Canis lupus familiaris: one gene and its partner. The protein of the gene in region 1 purifies or fractionates together with the protein of each later gene. This does not show direct contact. Links are inferred from orthologs where the notes say so. Each region holds a gene or a part of one and is shown in the gene's direction. Other genes may lie near its edges. The genes, in order: MAF and USP5.

Region 1 (4,484 bases):
CCGCGCCCGCTCCCCCCGAGGGCACGCGACGCCAGCGGGCGGCCAGTCTCCGCGCGTCACGGCCCCCGAACAACTTATTTCCCCTCCTTCAAAGCGGGCGATGAAACGGGCTTCCTGGGCACCCCGCGCGGACCGCGACCCGGCCCGGGGCCCCCTGAGCGCCGCCCCGCCAGGCGGCTCCTGCGCCCAGCCGGGCCCCGCAGCTCCCCGCCCCGCAGCCCTGCGCCCCGGCGCGCGGGTCCCGGGGAGAGGGACAAAGAGTTTGCGCTCTTTGGGCTAAGTTTGAGCTCCCCGCACGGCTACGCTCCGGGAAGGCAGGTCCCCGTGGGCAGACTCCTGGGTGCCTAAGGCGGGGCGAGCAGGGAGAGCGGCCCCGCCAGTTCGCGGTCCAGGGGATGGGGGTGCCCGGGATGCGGAGCCGGGCGGGCCAAGCCCCGCAGAGCGAGCGGAGGCCAAGCCGGCGCCCCGAAGGCGGGCCTCCGTCGCGCTCCGAGGGGAGCACACCGGCCTCCCGGGGCCCCCGGGTCCCCGCGGCCCCGCCGCGCGCCTCCCTCCCCTCCCGCCGCAAACTTTGCGCCGGGGCTGCGCTCCCTCCCCGGGAGGCTGCGGCGCGGGAAGGGTTAAGGCCGCTCGTCCCAGCTGACAGTCAGCTGATTGGGCCCTGATTGACAGCTCCGAAAAGTTTCCTTGTTTCTATCTATTATGCTAATCGCGGCCGCTCTCGCCGCCTCCCATTGGCCCCGAGTACCAGTCAATTTCCCATTTGGGCCTGACGTCACAAGTGCTATAAAACTCAGCAATTGCTTTAAACTCTTCTTGCTTGGATCAGAGGCTTTAAAATCTTTTTTCATCTTCGAGCTGTGGCTCGGGCCGCTCTTCGGCTCGGCCTCCCCCCCTCCTTTCGCTCTCTGCCTCGCCTTTTTCCCCGGGACTTCGCTATTTTGCTTTTTTAAAAAAAAAAAAAAAAAAAAAAAAAAAAGGCAAGAAAGAACTAAACTCCCCCCTCCTTTTCCTCCAGCCGGGCTGCACCTCTGTCTTGCACTTTGCACGGAGAGAGCGCGCGAGGGGGAGAGAGAGAGAGAGAAAGACAGAGAGAGAGGAAAGGAAAAAAAAAATAAAAAGCAGGCAGAAGAGAAGGCGAGAAGCATGAAGTGTTAACTCCCCCGTGCCAAGGCCCGCGCCGCCGGACAGCCGCCCGCCGCGCCTCCAGCCCCGAGCGGCCGCCGCGCGCGCCCCGCCTGCAGCCCGGGCCGGCGAGGCGAGCCCTCCCTATGCACAGCGCGCAGCGGAGCGGCGAGCGGGGGACGCCGCGCACCCGGCCGGGCTCCTCCGGCTCCTCCGGCTTCGCCGCCGCCGCCGCCGCCGCCGCCGCCGCCGCCGCCGCCGCAGCCCGCGGAGGACCTTCCCGAGCCTGAAGCCGCCGGCTCGGCACGCACGGAGGCGAGCAGGCGAGGAGGGGCCGGGGCGAGCGAGCGAGCGAGCGAGCGAGCACATTGGCGTGAGCGGGGGGGAGGGAGGGCGGGCGCGGGGGGCGCGGGCAGGGCGGGGGGTGTGTGCGCGCTCGGAGGTCTCGGGCCAGCCACCGCCGCGCGAGCTAGAAGCGCCCCAGCCCGGCAAGCTGGCTCACCCGCTGGCCACCCAGCACAGCCCGCTGGCCCCTCTCCTGCAGCCCATCTGGCGGAGCGGCGGCGGCGGCGGCGGCGGCGGCAGGAGAATGGCATCGGAACTGGCAATGAGCAACTCCGACCTGCCCACCAGTCCCCTGGCCATGGAATATGTTAATGACTTCGATCTGATGAAGTTTGAAGTGAAAAAGGAGCCGGTGGAGACCGACCGCATCATCAGCCAGTGCGGCCGTCTCATCGCCGGGGGCTCGCTGTCGTCCACCCCCATGAGCACGCCGTGCAGCTCGGTGCCCCCTTCCCCCAGCTTCTCGGCGCCCAGCCCGGGCTCGGGCAGCGAGCAGAAGGCGCACCTGGAAGACTACTACTGGATGACCGGCTACCCGCAGCAGCTGAACCCCGAGGCGCTGGGCTTCAGCCCCGAGGACGCGGTCGAGGCGCTCATCAGCAGCAGCCACCCGCTCCAGGGCGGCTTCGATGGCTACGCGCGCGGGGCGCAGCAGCTGGCGTCGGCGGCCGGGGCCGGGGCCGGGGCCGGGGCCGGGGCCGGGGCCGGCGCCGGGGCCTCGCTGGGCGGCGGCGGCGAGGAGATGGGCCCCGCCGCCGCCGTGGTGTCCGCCGTGATCGCCGCGGCCGCCGCGCAGAGCGGCGCGGGCCCGCACTACCACCACCACCACCACCACCACGCCGCCGGCCACCACCACCACCCGACGGCCGGCGCGCCCGGCTCCGCGGGCAGCGCGTCCTCCTCGGCCGGGGGCGCGGGCGGAGGCGGCGGCGGCGGCGGCGGCGGCGGCGGCCCGGCCGGCTCCGGGGGCGGCGGCGGCGGCGGCGGCGGCGGCGGCGGCGGCGGGGGCGCGGCGGGGGCGGGGGGCGCCCTGCACCCGCACCACGCGGCCGGCGGCCTGCACTTCGACGACCGCTTCTCCGACGAGCAGCTGGTGACCATGTCGGTGCGCGAGCTGAACCGGCAGCTGCGCGGGGTGAGCAAGGAGGAGGTGATCCGGCTCAAGCAGAAGAGGCGGACCCTGAAAAACCGCGGCTATGCCCAGTCCTGCCGCTTCAAGAGGGTGCAGCAGAGACACGTCCTGGAGTCCGAGAAGAACCAGCTGCTGCAGCAGGTCGACCACCTCAAGCAGGAGATCTCCAGGCTGGTGCGCGAGAGGGACGCGTACAAGGAGAAGTACGAGAAGCTGGTGAGCAGCGGCTTCCGAGAAAACGGCTCCAGCAGCGACAACCCGTCCTCTCCCGAGTTTTTCATGTGAGTCTGACCCGCGGTCCCAGCTAGCCACCTTCCTGCGTGCTCCGCGGGGGTCCGACTCGGCTGTGGGCTTGCTAGTTCCAGAGCCGCGCTCGCCGCCACCTCGCCCCCCCGCCGAGGTCGCCCGCTGCCCCTGCACGCGCGCACGCACACGCACACACACACACACACACACACACACACACACACACACACACACGCCCTGCTCCCACTTGGCGGTGGTGGTGGCTGTTTTTAAATGGGGAGGGAGTGGATGTCTGGCTCATGGATTGCCAACCTGAAATTCTCCATAACTTGCTAGCTTGTTTTCATGCACCCCCCTACACACACACACACACACACACACGCACACACGCACACGACGTTCAGACATCTCAGCAGAGTTCTTCATGCTCACCTTTGAAACCTGCATCATTCACAGTGTTGTTTTCTCTCTCTCTCTCTCTCTCTCTCTCTCTTCTTCTTCTTCTTCTTCAGTTCATGAGCTGGTGTTCATTTTCCGTGTGTGTTTTACTTTGTTTGGATTTTTTTTTTTTTAATTTTACTTTTTGGAGCTTGCTGTGTTGTCCTTTTTCCCAACCTCCATCCTCACACCCTTTCCACTCATCTCCTCAGAGAGAAAAGAAAAGAAAAAAAAAAAAAAAGCTAAGGGTTTTTTTTTTTCCCCCTCCTCCTGAGTTCTTCATGTGAGATTGAGCTTGCAAAGGAAAAAAAAAATGTGAAATGTTATAGACTTGCAGCGCGCTGAGTTCCACCGGGTTTTTTTTTTTTAGCATTGTTATGCTAAACTAGAGAAAAAAAAATCCTCATGAACCTGCCACAATCAAGCCTGCATCAACCTTCTGGGTGTGACTTGTGAGTTTTGGCCTTATCATGCCAAATCTGAGAGTTTAGTCTGCCATTAAAAAACTCATTCTCATCTCATGCATTATTATGCTTGCTACTTTGTCTTAGCAACAATGAACTATAACTGTTTCAAAGACTTTATGGAAAAGAGACATTATATTAATAAAAAAAAAAGCCTGCATGCTGGACATGTATGGTATAATTATTTTTTTTCTTTTTTTTTTCCTTTTGGCTTGGAAATGGACGTTCGAAGACTTATGGCATGGCATTCATACTTTTGTTTTATTGCCTCATGACTTTTTTGAGTTCAGAACAAAAAAGTGCCACCCTAGAGCCTTCTTCCCATGAAAGTTTGCATCTGCTCCAAAACTGCTTTGAGTTACTCAGAACTTCAGCCTCCCATTGTAAATGCACTGAAGGCATTCCTTGTCAAAGATGCCAGAATGGGTTAAAAATTTAACATGGCAAACATTAAAAGAACTCTTAATGTTTTCTTTTTAATAAGAATGACACCCCATTTTGGGGACTAAAATTGTGCTGTTGCGGAAAGCAGTCTAAAACTTATTTTTTAAAAAAATGAAATCTGCCCCATTATTTTTGGTTTGTTTTATTTTTATTATTATTTTTTTTTTTTGGCTTTTGGTCATTGTCAAATGTGGAATGCTATGGGTTTCTAGTATATAATTTAATTCTAGTTTTTATAATCTGTTAGCCCAGTTAAAATGTATGCTACAGATAAAGGAATGTTATAGATA
Region 2 (3,803 bases), on another chromosome or scaffold:
CACCTCTTGCGCTGCAGGAGTCTGAGGGTGGCCTCTACATCTGCATGAATACATTCCTGGGCTTTGGGAAACAGTATGTGGAGAGACATTTCAACAAGACGGGCCAGCGAGTCTACCTGCACCTCCGGAGGACCCGGCGCCCGGTAGGGACAGGGTGGGGGCAATGCCTGGGGACATTTGGGCACGTGCTACTGGGCCTCCATTTGGAATCTGTCTCATCCATTCTGACCTCCCGTTGGCCTCAGTTTCCCACCTATTTCTGTTTGTATCATTAGAACTCAGCACATGTGTGTTTTTGTTTTGTCTTGTTTTTAAGCTCCGTTCCCTTCCAAGATTAATCGACTCTGCCCTGTCCATCCTCCCCACTTGTCCCTTCCCTGGTACCCATTGCTGATCCTGTCCTTCCTGCCTCATTGTAGAAAGAGGAGGACACCACTACAGGCACTGGAGACCCCCCGCGTAAGAAGCCCACCCGGCTGGCTATTGGTGAGCACCATTAGAGTCCTCCTCCTCTTGAGCTGGTCTCTTTTGCTCTCAGAGGTGCTGGCAACCCCCAAAAGAATGGGCCTGATCAGTGGAGGGGACAAAATGAGATGCTGTATTAGAGGAGGGACATTTACTTGTGGTGATTGTCCTACCCTCTCTCTTCCCTGTTTCACCAGGTATGGAAGGCGGGTTTGACCTCAGTGAGGAGAAGTTTGAATATGATGAGGATGTGAAGATTGTCATTTTGCCGGATTACCTGGAGATTGCCCGGGATGGGTTGGGGGGCCTGCCTGACCTCGTCAGAGATCGGGTGCGAATACCTTCCCACCCTCCCAGGAGCTCTAGGGCAGGCAGGGGCCCAAGCAGTGATGTCTTGGGCAAGCCACTGAGAAAGCTGGAGATGGAGGGGCTGGAGGGGCGTGGGAGGGTGGCGGGCCAGGGACCGTCTCTGATCCTCTGCTTCCCCCAGGTGACCAGTGCGGTGGAGGCCCTACTGTCGGCTGACTCGGCCTCCCGCAAGCAGGAGGTACAGGCGTGGGATGGGGAAGTACGGCAGGTGTCTAAGCATGCCTTCAACCTCAAGCAGCTGGACAACCCTGCTCGAATCCCTCCCTGGTGAGGCCTGGCCCCTCCACCTTGGAGCACAATCCCCAGAGCAGGGGCAGAGAGGCCCCCCTCCTGGGGGATCTGGTGGGAGAGAGAGCCAGAGGGAGACTGGGGGAGATGAGCTCAGCAAAGGGACCTCCAGAGGAGAGAAGGAAGGAGCTCTTTGACTGGCAGGGGGCCAATCCCAGATACCCTTGACCCCTATTTCAGCTAACTTTCTTCTCCCTGGCTTAGTGGCTGGAAGTGTTCCAAGTGTGACATGAGAGAGAACTTGTGGCTCAACCTGACAGATGGCTCCATTCTTTGTGGCCGACGCTACTTCGATGGCAGTGGTGGCAACAACCATGCCGTAGAGCACTACAGGGAGACAGGCTACCCATTAGCTGTCAAGCTGGGCACCATCACACCCGACGGAGCTGGTACTCCCTCCCTCCTCTGGCTCCCTCTGCGCTGAAGTGTGCTTAACTGTTACTCATTGTATATGACACGAGTAACACATCAGTACGTTCTCTTGATTAACAATGAACATATTGCAGATAACACTAAATCTTCAGTTAGGCCCCCCAAATCCCAGTCCCTTTCTTAGAGATCACCAGCATTATGTGTTTAGTGAGTATCCTTCCAATCCCATCTGACCCTAGCACCTTATCCTACATGGTAGAGTCCCAGGAAACTCCAGCCCTCATGCTCAGTCATCCCTTCCCTGACAGCCAGTCTCAGAAAGGCTTGTGAGGATTACCTTTCTGGGATCCTCCTTCTGTCCCATCAATGCTCCCTTGGGGCAGGGAATGGAATTGGTCGGTGGCCAGGCCAGTCCAGAGCCACCTCTTCTGACCCTGCTTCTGCCTCCCACCCTAGATGTGTATTCATATGATGAGGATGACATGGTCCTGGACCCCAACCTGGCTGAGCACCTGTCCCACTTTGGCATCGACATGCTAAAGATGCAGAAGGTGAGGTCCCCCTTCAGCTTCCGATTCTCATCCCTGCCTGCCAGGGCCCTTCCTGGCCGGAGGCTGAAGTAGCCCATCCACAACAGCTGCCACAGTTATCCTAGTCCCCAGGGCATCTGTGCTTCCTTTAAAAAACTTTCTAGAATAATTTATTCATCCATTGAATGCTACTGGAGTACCTACTATGTGCCAGTCACTGTATGAATAAGAGAAATTTACATTCTAGATGGAAAGGCAGACATTCATTGTCTGCTCAGGCAAATGAGTGAATAACCACAAACCGGTGGGCGCTGTGAAAGAGATGTAGAGGGGCACCTGGGCGGCTTAGTCAATTAAAGGTCTGACTCTTGATCTCAGCTCAGGTCTTGATCTTAGGGTTGTGTGTTCCATCCCCATGTTGGGCTCCATGCTAGGTGTGGAGCCTACTCAAAAAAAAAAAGTGGGACACCTAGGCGGCTCAGCGTATGAGCATCTGCCTTTGGCTCAGGGCATGATCCTGAGGTTCTGGGATCGAGTCCCACATTGGGCTCCCCACAGGGAGCGTGCTTTTCCCTCTGCCTATGTCTCTGCTCTCTCTGTGTGTCTCATGAGTAAATAAATAAAATCTTTAAAAAAAGAGAGGGGTAGAGAGACAGAGAAGTAGTGTACAGCAGGAGGACTGGCTCATCGCGGGGATCAAGGAAGTGAAGCTTGAGGGGTAAGATGGGGTGACTTCAGAAGGAAAAAATACATCGAGTGGAAGGACTCACCTTCATTTCTTTCTTTCACCCAAGTGGAGGTCTGATGACTAACAGGTCTCAGGGACAGTCACTCATGGCCTTCCAGAGCTGGGACCAGGCTTAGCCAGCCAGTGTGTCTCCCACGTTAGAATCCATAATTGAACAGATTTGTAGCTTCAGCTGGGTGCCGTCCTGGGCCCTCTGAGGGATCAGTGTGAAAAAATATGGGGCTGAGCTTCTCACCCTGTCTGAAATGCACCTTCCCTTGCAGACGGATAAGACGATGACGGAGTTGGAGATAGATATGAACCAGCGCATTGGCGAATGGGAGCTGATCCAGGAGTCGGGTGTGCCTCTGAAGCCCCTATTTGGGCCTGGCTACACGGGCATCCGGAACCTGGGTAACAGCTGCTACCTCAACTCTGTGGTCCAGGTGCTCTTCAGCATCCCTGACTTCCAGAGGAAGTGAGTGGCACCCCCTCCCCATGCCTGGCCCTTAGGCCTTGTACCCCTGACCTTGCAGCTCTCCTAGATGCCAGCCTTTAGGCACACTCCTCCTTTGGCTACCGTCAGTACCTCCGTGTTGTAGCTCGGTCTTCATTCTTGTCACCCTGTGGCTGGTATGCTTCCATCAGTTAGAGCACCATGGTCACCTAGCCATGCAAGCCCCACCAAGAGCAGAACCCCGAATCCCAGCGTGCTCCCTGGCCTCCTGATTGACTCGGGGGAGGAGGTACTCTTTGCTTTTGACCAATGACAGCAGATGGGGACCAAACAAGGATATGTAGCACTTGGGGGGTGGGGGGAGAGCCTGGGACACTAGGAGAGACAAAAAGACACATTCTGAACAGAAGTAAGTCTGCCTTCTAACTGAGAAGGACTTAATACATGTGTGGAAACCTCATAGCATGTTGGCCCATTCCATCCTGTGGAATGCGAACCATACTTCCCCTTCTCCCAGGCTGCCTTCTCCCCTCCCTGGGCTCACTCCTGGGGAGGAGGCCAGGAAATAATGCAGCAGAATACATTGCATGTTGGC

Evidence for each region.
Region 2: the proteins of MAF (region 1) and USP5 purify together in Homo sapiens (affinity purification with western blotting; 3 studies listed by BioGRID, with this or other methods). This does not show direct contact. The link is inferred for Canis lupus familiaris from reciprocal best matches to the Homo sapiens genes MAF and USP5.

The regions. Positions count from the first base shown.
Region 1 is NC_049226.1:72,522,906-72,527,389, forward strand, and holds the start of MAF (transcription factor Maf), read left to right. Parts: upstream 1-1,511; 5' UTR 1,512-1,714; coding exon 1,715-2,883; intron 2,884-4,484.
Region 2 is NC_049248.1:7,926,383-7,930,185, forward strand, and holds part of USP5 (ubiquitin carboxyl-terminal hydrolase 5), read left to right. Parts: intron 1-17; coding exon 18-143; intron 144-419; coding exon 420-486; intron 487-662; coding exon 663-796; intron 797-955; coding exon 956-1,101; intron 1,102-1,326; coding exon 1,327-1,511; intron 1,512-1,950; coding exon 1,951-2,045; intron 2,046-3,035; coding exon 3,036-3,229; intron 3,230-3,803. UniProt on the Homo sapiens protein: Deubiquitinating enzyme that participates in a wide range of cellular processes by specifically cleaving isopeptide bonds between ubiquitin and substrate proteins or ubiquitin itself.